Macaca mulatta: one gene and its partners. The protein of the gene in region 3 interacts with the protein of the main gene of each other region in a pairwise test. Links are inferred from orthologs where the notes say so. Each region holds a gene or a part of one and is shown on either strand. Other genes may lie near its edges.

Evidence for each region.
Region 1: the proteins of USP2 (region 3) and LHX4 interact in binary tests that used the Homo sapiens proteins (3 or more experiments, as listed by UniProt). The two-hybrid records come from large-scale screens. The link is inferred for Macaca mulatta from reciprocal best matches to the Homo sapiens genes USP2 and LHX4.
Region 2: the proteins of USP2 (region 3) and LZTS2 interact in binary tests that used the Homo sapiens proteins (3 or more experiments, as listed by UniProt). The two-hybrid records come from large-scale screens. The link is inferred for Macaca mulatta from reciprocal best matches to the Homo sapiens genes USP2 and LZTS2.
Region 4: the proteins of USP2 (region 3) and NDEL1 interact in binary tests that used the Homo sapiens proteins (3 or more experiments, as listed by UniProt). The two-hybrid records come from large-scale screens. The link is inferred for Macaca mulatta from reciprocal best matches to the Homo sapiens genes USP2 and NDEL1.

The regions. Positions count from the first base shown.
Region 1 is NC_133406.1:37,656,736-37,660,873, reverse strand, and holds the start of LHX4 (LIM/homeobox protein Lhx4), read right to left. Parts: upstream 2,801-4,138; coding exon 2,588-2,800; intron 2,434-2,587; coding exon 2,213-2,433; intron 1-2,212. UniProt on the Homo sapiens protein: May play a critical role in the development of respiratory control mechanisms and in the normal growth and maturation of the lung. Binds preferentially to methylated DNA.
Region 2 is NC_133414.1:113,059,452-113,063,377, reverse strand, and holds the start of LZTS2 (leucine zipper putative tumor suppressor 2), read right to left. Parts: upstream 2,801-3,926; 5' UTR 2,558-2,800; intron 2,162-2,557; exon of another isoform or gene 1,895-2,161; intron 1,247-1,894; exon of another isoform or gene 817-1,246; intron 1-816. UniProt on the Homo sapiens protein: Negative regulator of katanin-mediated microtubule severing and release from the centrosome. Required for central spindle formation and the completion of cytokinesis.
Region 3 is NC_133419.1:120,062,374-120,065,873, reverse strand, and holds part of USP2 (ubiquitin carboxyl-terminal hydrolase 2), read left to right. Parts: intron 1-1,697; 5' UTR 1,698-1,738; coding exon 1,739-2,512; intron 2,513-3,500. UniProt on the Homo sapiens protein: Hydrolase that deubiquitinates polyubiquitinated target proteins such as MDM2, MDM4 and CCND1. Isoform 1 and isoform 4 possess both ubiquitin-specific peptidase and isopeptidase activities.
Region 4 is NC_133421.1:9,937,864-9,942,155, reverse strand, and holds the start of NDEL1 (nuclear distribution protein nudE-like 1), read right to left. Parts: upstream 2,801-4,292; 5' UTR 2,791-2,800; coding exon 2,701-2,790; exon of another isoform or gene 2,669-2,700; coding exon 2,609-2,668; intron 1-2,608. UniProt on the Homo sapiens protein: Required for organization of the cellular microtubule array and microtubule anchoring at the centrosome. May regulate microtubule organization at least in part by targeting the microtubule severing protein KATNA1 to the centrosome.

The DNA.
Region 1 (4,138 bases), on a different chromosome or scaffold from region 3:
TCAGACATGGCCCTGAGGAAACACTGGGGGTGCAAGGCGGCCCTCTGGCGATGAAGCCCTGGGTCAGTGGCCCTGACAGGCTTTGCTCGTACCCCACAGGCTTCCCTCAGCTGCCACACTGGACCAGTCAGAAACTGGTGGGCCCTGAGGTCTGACTCGGACATTCCAGCACCTACCCTGCCCCAAGATGGGCAAGCGGAGGCATGACCTCTTGGCTTCCCAAAGGTGCAGGCACACACACCTGCATACACCTCATCACAGAAGCAGGGCAGCTCACCCGACCCCAAGGCCAGGCCCTCCCACCTGCCTCCTCCTGCCCTCTTCACACACACATTATGTTCACATATGCACCCGGGTGCACAACGCCCGCGCGCGCGCGCACACACACACACGCGCACACACACACACACACACAGTGAAATTCACCCCACCCAGGGTCCCGGAACAGCTGCTGTGGTGCTTGGCCATTACATCATAGAGGGAGGAAAACAAAGGCAAACTCCTGTTGCCCACTGAGAAAGGATGTGGCTAGAGGGAATGGAATTGCATGAATGCCAGAAAAAAGGAAACTAGAGGAGGGTGAGAGGTGGGAAAGCAACAGGAAGATTGTGAGAAAGAAGAGCAGTACACAAAAAGCTCAGAGGGAGGACCAGAGGCCTGTCCCTCCACCCAAACATGAAGGACTTGCTGGGCGCCCGTGTCACCGGCTGCCCCTGCCTTCCTATAGTCAACACACACTCACACACACACACACATTCACTCACAGCCCCACACACACTCACTCACACACACACTCACACGTAGGGAGCAGCACATATCTGAGCAAAGTACCATGGTGACAGTGAGTGCATCCTCTGCACACAGCCAGGGAGGCAGCCGCACGCAGTAGTTACCAAGATTTTTAATGTGCTCTTCAACTCATTGCACTAAAGAAATATGAGCATCCTCAGATATTCAAACCACTTATTCTCTGTAGTGAAACCTTTGGGAAGATGTGGGAGAAATTGTGTTCTGTATCCGGCACTCACATTCCTCCCCATTACTCCCCTCAACCCCCATCTCCCGAATACACAGCTTCAGCATGAGGTGCCTCTGTGGGGCTTGGTTATCTGGGCTGAGTGTGCTCAGGCCTTGGCGAGCCTGCCCGGCAGCCCCTGGGCCACCCAGGCTAGTGTGACTGAACACAGGGCTCAGCGTCACTGATCCCTGACCCCCACCTCCCGCTCTTGGCTTCGCTTGTTGCCAGCTGCGCCACGTCGGCTAAGGCACCCACATCAGTGCCTTGGGTAATAGATTCTGGGGGAGAAGTCGAGGACTAAATGCCATGGAAAACACCTTCCAGGAGGTCTTCTCACCCTGACCCAAAGCTCCAACAGGAGGTTTTTGATGAACCCCACCCCAGAATGAAAAATCTCACAGTCTTAAGAGCTAATAGTGTCAGGCACTGTCCTGAGGACGTGATGCATAAATAGACTTATTTAAAGTTAATAAAAACCTCCTGAGGTAGGGACTATTACTGTGAACCCCATTTTACAGATAAACAAACTGAGGCACAGAGAAGTTAAGCAACCTTCCCAAGAGCACACCGCCAATAAGTACATTCAAATTCAGGCAGAGTCTGGACTCAACCATCACACGAAACTGCCTCTTTCTTGATCATGTTTCCATATAAAGTGACGACACTGACTGAGCCTGGCTGTGCCTCCTGCCAGAAGCAACTCTTGCAAGCCTCAAAGGCCCTTGAAGCAGGCTGTGTAAACACAGCCATGGAGATGCTTCTAGATGTGGACACGAACCTAAAAGCACCTGCTCTGAAAGTTGTGGTAATGTTACGACCACATGCCCTGAAGTGCTAATATATCAGGACAGAAAGAAAGAGCAAATCTTTCTGTTGCTCTTTGGAGCAGCAAAGGAGATCTGCAGGACTCCTTTGTCAACCACCCTGGAGAAATATGGCCCAAAGCCTCTGGCTCCTCACCCCTGCCCCATGCAGAGATCAAATGAGGCCTAGAGGCTGGACCTCCGGCAGTGATGGGCCACTGATCAGAAGGGGGAGCTCAACAAGGGGCATCCTCTCAGCTCCAGGACTTACCTGCCCCTCCCAGAGTGGACTCTCCACCCTCCCTGGCCTACCCCGCTGCAAACTTCCCCCTCACTGCATGGGGAGAGGCAGAGACAGGCCAGGGCCACGACAGGGACCGTTCTGACTTACTTGAAGAAGTCCTCCTTGCAGTAGACGCTCCCGGCCCTGGAGAAGCACCTGTCCGCCAGCTGCATCTGGCAGTCTGCACACTTGAGGCAGGAGCTGTGCCAGTGTCTGTCCAGGACCTTCAGGATGAACTTGTCCAGGATGTGCTGGTTGCAGCCAGCACACTGGGGGATCTCTGTGAGGAAGAGGAGAGAGAGGTACTGTGAGCCTTCCACACAGCCCTGCTAACCAGGCCAGGCCCTGGCAGTTGCCTTCCCATTCTGCTGGTGGTGGAAACAGACATGGCCCAAACCACAGAGCTGTTGCATGTAGTTGCACAGGTTGTACACTGCACACAAAGGTGCATGGTCAAGGGACAAGTGGGGACTGAAAGCCAACCCTTGCTTTGCTGGCCAGGCTGTGTATTCTGGCTTGGGGTGACTTTGGCCCAGAGGAGTCATCCGTTTCTAAGGGCACCACAAGGCTAGCCGCAGAAGCTAAGCCATTTATGTCAGCTGCAGTTCCACAGCCAACAGGCCAGGAAGGCTCAGCAACATCCACCTCTGTTTCCACGACATTTTCACAAGTGATTGGAAGCTCTGCTAAAAACATCAGCCCCCAAAATAAGCCCTGCCTAGGCCTGGACTAAAAGGCCATCTGTCCTGAAAAGCAAATGATAAATACGGTGTGGGGGAGGGGGTGGGCAGTGATCGAGGTCCAGGCCTGAGGGTGCTCTTGTAGAGAAAATCTCAATATTTTAATGAACTGCAACCGATACCATAGATCGGCTGGATCAATACCTCATCCTAATGTGCCTTCCTGTGCTGCAGATAGGAAAGCTAGAAACTGCTTTTCCAGATGCCCTTGTGGCTCACATTTTGAAGATGATTGAGTCTTCCAATCAAACGCTCTTGGGAGAGACTTGAATTCAAAACTGAGCTAAATGTCAAGACAGTTGAGGGACAGGCTCCCCTTGTGCTGATGTGCGTCATGGCGGAGGCGATGAGGTGCCGTGTTGGGTGTTGCACTGTCCTGCTCAGTCACGGCAGAGGCAGTGCAATTCGGGGGGCTGAGAGTTATCCTGGAAGCTCCACCCAGCGGGCTCCACTGAGTTGAAAGCCACCTGCCACCTGATGATTAATCACTTTTCACTTAAATAGTGAAAGTGGACTCTGTTGTCTGCAACGGAACCCTAACCACCACCCCATCTGGTTCCTGTCCTGGGTGACTTCCTATCTGAGGTCTGTTTCTCCGCCATCCCATCTTTCCAAGAGATTGCTTGGGCATTTGATAGTATTTTGAGTCACTGACTGTTTCAAAATCTACAAAATGGTCAGGTTTCCATGGTTGGATGAACAAACAGTGCTAGGATCGCTAGCCATTTTCCCCTGTGCTTTTCAAAAAAAGAAGGTGACAAATCAACAAGTACTAAGAACAAAAACATAAAAGTGCAAGCGTTTGGCCTCCTAGAGTATCCTCCTGACACAGCACTCGCAAGGCTGGAAACCCCAGGGTTCCCATCCCTATTATAAAAGACACCTTTGCTCGTTGTTCGTCTAAACACTCACTGCCTAGCGTGGTGCCTGGCACACAAGGGTAACGCCACGGATGTTTATCACTAAATAATAAATTGATCAAATCCTGTCTGAGAAGCTCACCTTGAAACAGTTTTTCACTAGTTTCTCCTGTACACTCCAAAATGTCAACAGCAGTAAAACCAAATCTCTCATGAATCATACATGGTTTTTTGTTTTGTTTTGTTTTGTTTTGAGACGGATTTTCGCTCTGTTGACCAGCCTGGAGTGCAGCGGTACAATCTCGGCTCACTGCAACCTCCACCTCTTGGGTTCAAGCGATTCTCCTGCCTCAGCCTCCTGAGTAGCTGGGATTACAGGTGCGTGCCACCACACCTGGCTACTTTTTGTATTTTTAGTAGTAATGGGTTTCACT
Region 2 (3,926 bases), on a different chromosome or scaffold from region 3:
CCAGCCCCCGCCCAGTGCGAGTGGGCGGCGCCGCGCGGGGGAGGGTCCGAGGGGCGTCTCCGCCCCGGGACGCGGACACGCGCAGGGACACGCGCAGGCACCCGCGTCACGCGAATCGCCCGGGGCGCACGTAGGGGCTGCTCGGCGGCAGTCGGGAGCCCTGCCTCCGACGCCTTGTGACTGCGTGTCCGGCGGCTCGGTTCGGCTCGACGCGGCGGCGGCGGTGGTCACCCTCCGCCCCAGCCGGGGCCCCGGGGCCAGCGGCAGCTGGTCATTGTTCCAGCACAAAGGGCCACGGCACGGCGGCGGCCGCCCCTCCCCCTCCGCTTCTCCAAGCGAAGCTTCCTTGACACGCTCTCAGCCTCAGAGTCCCAAGCGAGAGAGGTCGACGACCGGCCGTCCCCCACTCTCCGGTGCCGGGGCCCCGCGCCCTAGCGCGAGTCGGAGGCCGAGGCTGTGTCCGCACCTGCCTCACCAGGGGCGGGTTGGAGGCGGCAACCTGGGCTTCGCAGAGGCGGCGCCACCTGGCGGCCCCCTCGGAGAACACACCCAGCCGCCCCCCACCACGCGGGCCCTGACCCACTCCCCGGTACGGTGCCCTTTTCCCCGCGAACCCAGGCCGGCCTCTGGCGCGGCCCCGTGCTCCCCAGCCTCCCCTCGGGACCGCTTGCTAAGACAGAGGTCATTTCTCGGAGAGAAGCGGCCCCTGGCTCCCCAACAATCACTGGGGCAAACCGGTCCAAGCCTACAGCCCAAACCTACAGGAGCCGCACGGCAGACAACATTCCACTTTCTCAAGGTCGCAAATATTCTCACCTTCTCGCACACAATACAGTCTCCCTAACACCCACGCGACCTTTCCCACATGCAGCCTCACCACGCAGCCACAAGCAGTCTCAGCTGTCACGTGGGTCCGCGTTCCTTCTTTCCATAATCTTCCAGTCCAACTCACACACAGACACGGTGTCACAGGCCTGTTGGGCACAGGCTTCCACAACAATCCGCAGTCCTTCGCACCCAGTCACTGTCTCAAATGCACTTAGTCTCCTAACCATCTTTCACGCATTGACAGCCTCTATTCACAGTCACTCACACAGACAACTTCTTACAGCCATGCTTCGCAAATATTCTACCGCACAGCCTTTCCCCTAGGGGTCTCGGTGACCCGGTCAGGTCAGCTGATGCCTGCATCCCTGGGCAAAGACAGCCTTTCTCCCCTAACCACCCCCTCCCCCGCAGGGCCAAGGCCTGCCAGAGCTCGCCCGGGCCCCAGGAAGGAGCATCCCCCCCTTCCAGGCCACAGCCCTGGCCGGCTCTCAGCTCTATTTTTAGCTCCATGGACAGGGTTGTTTTTCTTTCTTTTTCCCTGGAAAGGGAAACACAGCCCAGCCACCCTCAGACTCACCCCAGACCCTCAGCCTCACAAGAACAGACTGAGCCCCTCTCCCCAACAGAGCCCCCTCCTCTGGCCTTGCCCTGATCCCTGCCTCCTGGGGCACCGAGAACCTCCTCCCCTTTCTGGCAGCCTGCCCAGCTCAGGCGGCAGCTGGGCTCAGCGTGTGTGTAGGGGTAGGGGGTGGGGCGGGAAGAAGGCATCGAGCTACTGCCCACTCCCTCATTCCCTGGGGGCAGGGGCTCGTCCTCCTTTTTCTAGGGGTCTAGGCCCACTCTGGTATTGAGGGGGCGTTTACACTCATGCATTTTCTGCGGGGGAGGAGACTCCTACTCCGGCAAGGAGTGGAGGTGAGGGTAGGAAGGGGACCCGCAGGCGCTCAGGCAGCTGCTCTCTGGGCTGGCGGGAATAGGCGGGGGCAGCTGTCCACTGCCATCAAGGGCCTGTCTCCGAAACCTTCGGGGATGCAGATACCAAGAATGTGCTGGGGGAAGGACGTACAGGAGCCCAGGTTAACCCCAGCCCTGCCCAGCAGCCCGGCCCTCCTGCTCCGCCCCGGCTCCAGGGGGCGCTGTGCTCCGGTTCCTGGGAGAGGGCTTATCCCGGCTCCAGGAGGAGAATGGAACGCCGTCCGGCCTGGAACCAAGCAAACGCGCCTCGTGGTGGGGTTGGGGGCACAGGCCACTGGTGTGCGGAGCTGTCACGTGCCCGGCGCCTGTTTACGTCTTCGTCTTCACCTGTGGGCGGCCAGGAAGCAGGAACCTCTGGGTGCGTCCCACCCGGCCCGCCCCCGTCGGCGGTCACGGGGCTGCCCCTTTCCCGCACCCAATGCGCGACCGCAGAGTGCCCTGCCCGCTGTGGGTCCGCGCGGGCTGATTGGCGCTGTCCCTGGGAGTGCAAGGGTAGAAAACTGGGCGCGTCCTTTCCGACTGCATGTGTGTTCGCGTGTCCCAAGTGCGGGCGTGGGTCTGTGCACGCGTGTTTGGGGCCCGTCGGCGTGCGTTTTCGTGTCGCTTCCCTGTTTGGACTCTTCGCGGGCGACCCACCAAGTGCGGACCCCCCTCCTCACTCCACCCCTAGCTTCCCCAGAAGCGGAAAGTTCGTTCAGGAGCGGGGATGTGCGGGAAGCAGGAGTTCCTGCACCTCCGCGGCCCCACCACTCACCCAGCGCCACCTGCGCCTCGGCTCCAGCTCTGGCCCCGCTCCTGCTCCAGCGCGCCCACCTCCTTGCCGCGACAACGCCGCCTCCCTAGCCCGCTCCGAACTCTGGGCTCCGAACTCCGGGCTCCGGGTTCCGGGCTCCCGGCTCCCGGCTCCGGGCTCCCGGCTCCCGGCTCCGGGCGCCCGCCTGGCCTGACCTGGTGGGGCGGGGCGGGGCGGCTCAGGCCGCGCCCCCCACCCAGGGAGGGGAGGGGTCTGTCCCGCACTCCACCAACAGCCTACCCAGTTCCCAGCCCCACAGGGACTCGACGGTGGCCGAGGCTGCCCCTCTGGCCTTCGCCTTCACAGTTTACTGGATTTGGTTTTTGACGTGGGGAAGGGGGCGAGCATCTCGTGACCGATAATTCGACTACCTGGCTGCCTTAAACTAAGCTGCCCTATAGAACTTGACTCTGCCACCCTCCCTGCTCCGTTGGGAGCCCAACCCGGTCCACTCTTGACCCAATCCCCAAATATAGGGAAAACCCCTGGGAATCAGACAAAGGAGGCTCGAGTTTCACCAGAGCAGCTCCCACCTGCCCCCACCATGCACACACCTCAGCGTGGGGCTGCCCAAGCAGAACCAGCACAGCCCCCTCCCTAGAGTAGGTGTCTGCCCAGGTGAGCAGGCCTGCCGGTTCTGACCCCCCACGGGGCATGACTGGGCTTCTCTTAGACTCATAAAATCCTACCCACAGGCACAAACAGGAAGTTGTCCTGTATTGCAGGGAGGCCCCAGGGGCTCCCACCCGCCATGGCACTCAAGGCAGCATGTGGGAAGGTCTTTAGGTATCTGGGCCATATGGGCTGCTGGAGACCTCGGTGAGTTGTTGTTTTTTGAGACGGAGTCCCGCTGTGTCGCCCTGGCTGGAATGCAGCGGGCGCGATCTTGGCTCATTGCAACTTCAGCTTCCAAGGTTCAAGTAATTCTCCTGCCTCAGCCTCCAGAGCAGCTGGGACTAGAGGCATGTGCCACCACGCCACTAAAAATACAAAATACACTAATTTTTGTATTTTTAGTAGAGACGGGGTTTCACCATATTGGCCAGGCTGGTCTCGAACTCCTGACCTCGTGATCCACCCACCTCGGCCTCCAAAAGTGCTGGGATTACAGGTGTGAGCCACCACACCCGGCCGAGCTGTTTATTATTAAACCCATCCACAGCAGAGAGGAAGCTGCTGGAGGACCAAAGCTGCCCCCTCATAGCCAAGTGTGACATACACTATCAGTTAGAGGACAAGGCTGTAGATCCAACTGGACCTGGCTTAGCCAGGCCTTTCCTGAGTTCTCGGGGAAATGTTTTTGAATTTTTTTTTTTCTTCCCAATCCACT
Region 3 (3,500 bases):
CTCCTCTCTGCCCTGATGGGCTGGGTTGCCCAGCCAGTGTCTGCTGAGTGGCCAGATGTCTGCCCACTGCCTGCTTCTCTCGCTGGGGGCTGCATGGGGAGGCCTGGTGTCCCAAGCTGAGGCTAGAGGCTGGCCAGGCTGGGAGACAGCCAGCCCTGATATTATCATAGACCTACAGAGGGCAGAGCCAGGCTGCCTCGCAGTAGCTCGGGGAGGAGATGGTAACCACTGTCATTGTGGAGCCCTTCACGTGTTGTTATCTCATTTATTCCTCACAACAGCCCTGTGAGGTAGGAATTATGAGGATGGTGGTTTTACTCATTTACAGATGAGGAAGTTGGGGCTCAGAGAGGTTACATGATTAGTGCAAAATCACCCAGCTAGTCTATCACAGGGCAAGTCCCACCACTCTGAGAGTCCTGGATGGCTCTGCTTCCGTCCCCCTAGAGAGCCCCCCAAGAGCCCCTGATGCCCTTGAGGACAGGCTTCTGACCCTACTTGCTCCTCTGCCACTCCAGCTCTATTGGATACAGGCTGCATGTTTACGGCAATGGAAGGCCTCCGGGGGTCCCCAACTGACCCTAAATCTGATGAGGGGGTGGTAACTCAAGGTTAAGTGGAAAGAACACTGGCCAGGATTTCAAAGACCTGGATTCCAGTCCTGGCTCTGCTGGTGTGTGGCTGGGGAGAAATAAGCACCACTTTTCCCATCTGTACAACAGATAGATTAAAATTCATGATCCTCTGGGGCTTTCAAAGCTCCACATTCAGCAGTTCCTTCACTAGACCCTCCCCAGCTGCTGGACTGGAACAGGGAAGGACTGGGAATGCCACGTGCAGTGCAAGATTTGGGACTGTAGGGGGCCCCCTTTGCACAAACATCACCAGGACCAATTTGGGATCCGGATCCATGTCGGTAGAGGAACCCTGTGTTGGTAGAGGAACTCTTGGGAGGCCCAGGGCCCTAACTCCACTTAGAACAGAAGCTTAGCTCAGTGACATGAGTGGGTTCTACTTCACGAGTGTCCCTCACTGTGGGACCAGCAGCAGATGCTGGTGTCTGGGGAAAAGGTCTGGAGACCACGTTCTGGCCCCTCGCTGTTGCATGCTCACTCACGGCCTCCCCTGCCCACCCACACCCCATTACTTCCTCTCCTGAGCCTCCTTGGCCCCACAGGGGATCTGACCAAATGATCTTCAGGTCATTCCAGCACAGTCTAGGTTTCCAAAAAGACACCTGCTCATCACATAAGTCAGAAGGGACAGAAGTGGTCTTAACTCCTGAAATATCCAGCATTCTCAACCCAGGGGTCTGTGGCATCCCCCCAGCTCAAGAGTTTCTGCAGTTGCTGAGGCAATGGGATTTGAGCTGGAAGACTGCACGGCTTGGTGGGCTGTGGACGTCGGGTAGCCCCTGCTTGTGTGTTTGAGTCTTTGAATGGCCAGGATGCGCTGATTCCCTGTGTGGCATATAAAAGCCACCTCATCCCTTGCACTCTCACTGAGGCGTGAACACACAGGTGCAAGCAAGCCCGTGTGCACACCTGTGTGCATGTGTGTTTCTCAGCAGCCAGCCTGTCTCTTGTGGAAATGGACTGGGAGCTCTTAGGTTCTGGCCCAGCTAGGGATGGGGAGCGGGTCTGTGGGAGCCCGACACCTGGCAGGGCCCTCTGACAACTACTCTCCTTGTCTTTCAGCCCATGAGGCTCCCAGTCCCCACTGAGTGCGACCCTGAAGGATGTCCCAGCTCTCCTCCACCCTGAAGCGCTACACAGAATCAGCCCGCTACACAGATGCCCACTATTCCAAGTCGGGCTATGGTGCCTATACCCCCTCCTCCTATGGGGCCAACCTGGCTGCCTCCTTACTGGAGAAAGAGAAATTTGGTTTCAAGCCGGTCCCCGCCAGCAGCTTCCTCACCCGTCCCCGTACCTATGGCCCCTCCTCCATCCTGGACTATGACCGGGGCCGCCCCCTGCTGAGACCCAACATCACTGGGGGAGGTAAGCGGGCAGAGAGCCAGACCCGGGGTACTGAGCGGCCTTCAGGCAGTGGCCTCAGTGGGGGCAGTGGATTCCCTTATGGAGTGAGCAACAACTGCCTCAGCTACCTGCCCATGAATGCCTATGACCAGGGGGTGACCCTAACCCAGAAGTCGGACAGCCAATCAGACCTGGCCCGGGATTTCTCCAGCCTCCGGACCTCAGATAACTACCGGATAGACCCCGGGAACCTGGGTCGCAGCCCCATGCTGGCCCGGACGCGCAAGGAGCTCTGCACCCTGCAGGGGCTCTACCAGGCAGCCAGCCGCCCTGAGTACCTGGTGGACTACCTGGAGAACTATGGTCGCAAGGGCAGTGCATCTCAGGTGCCCTCCCAGACCCCTCCTTCACGAGTCCCTGAAATCCTCAGCCCAACCTTCCGACCCATTGGCCGCTACACGCTGTGGGAGAAGGGAAAGGGTCAGGCCCCTGGGCCCAGCCGCTCCAGCTCCCCGGGGAGAGACAGCATGGTGAGTTTACCCTTGGGGACCGGGGATGGGCTGGGGAGGCAGCCACTGTTGCAGAACAGCCAGGCTGAGGGCTTGACTCCCAACCTGACTGATGATTGACGGCAGCCGGTGGCTGCTCCTGGTGGAGACAAACAAGAGAGGTCATCCCAGCACGTCTGGTGCCCCTGGGGCTCCGTGCCGAGGGGAGGGGCTTTCCTGCTCTGCCTAGAAAGCCCACTCAGGGCCTGTGCACTCGAGGACAGTCCAGTAGTGTTCTCAGGAATGCTCCGCTGCCCCCAGTGAACCACTCTTCTCACCTTCTCCTTTTCCATCTGAGATGCCAGTGCCTCCTGCAGGCCCTGCCCCGACCTGGGCTGGATGCGGGGGCCCCAGACCACCAGTGCACCCAGTAGCAGGAGGGCGTCCTTGCTGCGGTTACATCTCCCCTCTTGTGCAGGTTTTATTCCCTAGCCCCGAGGCCTGGCTTTATATTTGGACATAAGACATTAGGGGAAGAGGGACTCTCCTCTGAGTGACACTGGCATGCTCAGGACTAGGGTATCAGACAGCAAGGCTTATCATCTGGCTTTGGAGAAAGTAGTGGAGAAATTTTTATCTAGGGCTTGAGACAATCCAATACCTCTATTCCAGCCCTGCCTCAGCTGGAATGAGAGAAGAGGCTCTGCTGGAGACTGACCAAGGGCTGGCATGGCCTTGCTCGCAACTAATCTCTGAACGCGCCTCTCTTGGGGCACTGATGACATCTGCCTTTCTGTAGTTATTAGTGTGCCCATTAGGTGGCAAGCTCTCAGAGGAGGAAAACGAAATCCTATCTCTAGATCCCCTGCCACGTGCCTCCCACAACGGGAGCTGACCTGCTGATTGCATGGATGAATGGATGGATGGATGGATGGGTGGGTGGTGGGATAGGTGGGTGGGTGGATACATGGGTAGTGGCAGGTGGACAGATGCACAGGCAAGCATATGGACAGAAGGGCTGGGTGCTGTG
Region 4 (4,292 bases), on a different chromosome or scaffold from region 3:
CTGCAGTAAGCCGTAATCGTTCCATTGCACTCCAGCCTGGGTGACAAAAATGAGACCCTGTCTCCAAAAAAATGAAAACAAAAATCAGATTATTTACAAATAATAAAATTTGCTACCACTGCAGATACTCAAATAACAGTTTCAGGGACTGTGTTACAGTCTGTTCAGTTTGCTTCAAGTTACACTGGGAGGATGTGTTCACTGTTATTTGAAACTATATAATTAGAGATTTTCACGCTATAGAAAGTTAGCCAATATAGAAAACACATTGCTAAAACAATGCTCTAATGGTACATCCACAATTTTCTGAAGCTAGAATGAAGATAGATAATTATGTATTATTGGCAGGGCGCGGTGGCTCATGCCTGTAATCCCAGCACTTTGGGAGGCTGAGGCGGGCAGATCACGAGGTGAGGAGTTCGAGACCAGCCTGACCAACATGGTGAAACCCTGTCTCTATTAAAAATACAAAAACTGGCAGGGCATGATGGCACGCACCTGTAATCCCAGCTACTCAGGAGACTGAGCAAGACAATCGCTTGAACCTGGGAGGTGGAGGTTGCAGTGAGCCGAGATCGTGCCACTGCACTTCAGCCTGGGCGGCAGAGGGAGATTCCATCAAAAAAAAAAAAAAAAAAATTATTATTCTCTGCCCACCCCCACCCCATCTTTATTTAACATCAGGTCTCAATATGGACAGAGTCTCAAAAGCATGACAATTTTTACGGAAAGCATTATCATACAATGTATGACCTTCAGAAACCTAGCAACAATCAACTCGTTTGAATTGAAAACAGCCTGTCCAAAATGCCTTTTATTTACAAGGAAATTACTCTTTGCATAATGGTAAGAAAATCTATTTTCAATATTGTTTCTGGTTAACAGTTCTAAGATGGACTAATGACGCTGGAGTAATTACATGTTGGTATGTTGGTAATACATGCCTTTTTACCGAAATTCTACTGCTCTCAAAGGTGACATTTACAGAATTTTTAACTCTTCGAAGTTGATCATAAACATGGTCTCTCTTTGATTCTATCAGACTTCTTTTTCTACTTTATGGAGTGCTCAGAAACTTACGTCAGAAGTAATTTTAAGCTTTAGTAACCAAATTTATCTCAGCATGGTTTACAATGAAAATACGTTGTTTTGCAGATCTCATGAAAGCAGGATCTAAGTTTTACTAAGGTTCCTACTTATTTTAAGCTCCTTATCCAACTTCAATCTATTTAATTTAAAAAAAAATCAAAACAACTACAGTTTCAGAAGATTTAACAACTTCCATCTGGATCAAGTCAACCTCTAACCAGGGCTGGCCAAAGGTTTTGTTTCTCATGCACTCTAATTTTAAATAACAATAATTTTAATAATAATTTAGAAGAGATACTTCACTTGGTTCCCCTTTACTTCTCTTCAGGCCATGACTTAACGCTGCATTGTGCCCATCAACTTCATGATTTAGCAAAGACATTACCCTGTCTTTTAAGCACATTAAGAGCAACACAGTTTAGCTGACACAATGTTAACCAGCAACTCCTGAACAAGCTTCACAGTAAGATTTTTCTCATGACTGAGCAGCAGTTTTTATCCTAGGTGAGTTTGCTCAAAAATAATTGAGTAAGTAATCAACCAGCTTCTGGCATACCTTTGGCAAGTCACATTTTCTGCCTTGTTTTCTAGCTGAGAAGGGTATAAAAATCCCACGAAAAGAAACCAGAACTCCGAGCCTAGAAATGTAAATTATGATCCAAGCTAAGCCACTCACCAGTTGATTGAACCTAAGTATAAATCAATTACCCCCATTCCAGCTCCATTTCTCCATCGAAATGGCGATAACATAATCAGCTGCAACCACAAGGTGATGCGGTTTGAAAGAGATAGGAAGAGAGTTCTGAAGCGTGTAAAGGTGCTACGTAAATAGAACGTAATAATTAGTAGGGATAGAACTTTCACCTGCTTTGCAAAACTTAAAGGGTCATCTCGTGGCTTACAGCTCGAAAAGAGTCGAGCACAGGTAACCCGAGCCCGTTCGTGACACTTTCCCGAACTCCAAGGGGAGGATGATTAGCAGTTCTGGGCGGGAGTCAGGGGAATGCCAATCCGAGCCCAACGTGGGCTGCTCGCGCTCTCGCCCCCCATGGGAGAGACGCACTGAGAGATCGAAATGCAACCCCGCTTCAAGACACCCTCGCAAATGAAGGAATTTCAGGGAGGGGGTAGGAGGCGGCAGGCTGGGCGCGCCGCTGCCACCTCCGACTGGGCCACTCCTTGCGCCGCCAGCGCCCCAGCCCACGGTGCCACGTCCCGGCCTCCGTCACCGCCAGCCCTCACCCCACCCGGAACGGGGCACATCCTCCGGAGGCCACAGGGATCGTTCCCTTGCAGGCGCCCCTGGGGGGACCACACGTCGGACCAGGGAAGGGAGGGGACAGTTAGAGCGGTTGGAACAGTTGTCCCTGGGCTGGCCGCCCCAGAAGCCGGCCCGGCCCGGCCCGCCCCGGCGGAGCCTCAGACACGGCCCCGGGCCGGGAAGGCTCCCCAAGGGCAGGCCTCGGCGCCGCCGGCCCAGCGCAGCCCCTTAGGGAGAGGTCCCGCGGTGCAGGCTCACCTCCAATGTGTCAAAAGCGCATGTTCGCCGCCGCTCGACCCACGTCTCCGCTCCGCTGGCCTGGCCAGGCCCGCCCAGCCGCTCGGCTCAGCTCCCCTCCGCAGCCCCGAGCTCCACTCCGCGCACCTCCGCTCCCGGCTCCTCCCCGACACGTCAGGGACTGCCTGGGTGTCCGAGGCCATTCTGTGACGCACGGGGGCGGGGCTCGGAGCATGCGCGGCAGCCCGCGGGTATGCGGGGCGGGGCGGGGCGGGGCTGGTGCCACAGGGGGCGGGCCAGAGCCCGGCGCGCTGACGTCAAGCTGACGGCGTCCTTTTGCGCAGGCGTTCTTGGACTCTGAGACCGGCTGGTTATGGCTTCAGCAGCTCCCTGAAACTGCTATTCGGGAGAGTGGTTCCAAGACGGATGGGAACGTGCCTTCAGTTTTCCGGCCACCAAGGCCCTTCAAGTGTCCATGTGTCAGTGTTCCCGTTTATAAAACGAATCTCGGCTCATAGTTCACCTCCGAGTCCATTCCCCCTGCCTGAACACCCAATGGAACACCAGGGGCATTCTAAGCATCACTGCCACAAAGCTCTGTGTTGTTTTTACAGCACTTGCACTGCTTACATTTTGTATTTGTTCTCATCTTCCTCCAGTAGAATTCTAAGTTCTATGAGAGCTAGAACCTTTTATGCCTTGCTCATCCCAACAGATAACTTGGTTCTAGGCAAAGTGGACGCTCAAATATTTGATGAATGAATGGATTCGTTGGCACCAAGGGGATTTTATATTTGCCCATTTATATATTGTATATATAAATATATTTATATATTGTATATATCTGAGCATATATTCATTTTTGTATACATGCGTGTACATGTGTGTATGGGTGTGACTTTCTCCCCTCCAAGGCCCCTAAGAAATGGAGTCCTACATTTATATATGTATAATAACATATATTATGTATTTTATAAAATATATATAACATATTTTATATAATATATAACATATATCTATAAAATATATATTATATATTATATATTTTATATAATATACATTATTATATATAATATATAATTTCACAAATTTATAATTTCACAAATTTATATATTATATATAATTTTATATATTATATATTATATAAGAGATACATTTTAAAAACAATTTTAAGAACTTTGCTGTATATTATATGTATTATAATATGTAATATATTATACAATTATGTATTATATATTATATAATATATACTATATACATTATAGTATATACATTATATATTAGATATATACCTCTTACAATCCATTTTGCTTTTTTTTTTTGAAACGGAATTTTGCTCTTGTTGCCCAGGCTGGAGTGCAGCAGTGCGATCTCAGCTCACTGCCTCCCAGGTTCAAGCGAATCTCCTGCCTCAGCCTCCCAAGTAATTGAGATTACAGGCGCCTGCCACCACGCCCGGCTAATTTTTGTATTTTTAGTATATTTTTAGTAGAGACGGGGTTTCACCATGTTGGCCAGGCTGCTCTCGAACTCCTGATCCGCCTGCCTCGGCCTCCCAAAGTTTTGGGATTACAGGCGTGAGACACCGCACCCTGCCCCATCTTGCATTATTAATGTTTATATATATTTTAGTATATAAATACACACGTATGTGTGTGTGTATGTGCGCGTGTGTATTCCCTAGTGGACCTGGAAGCACTCTGGA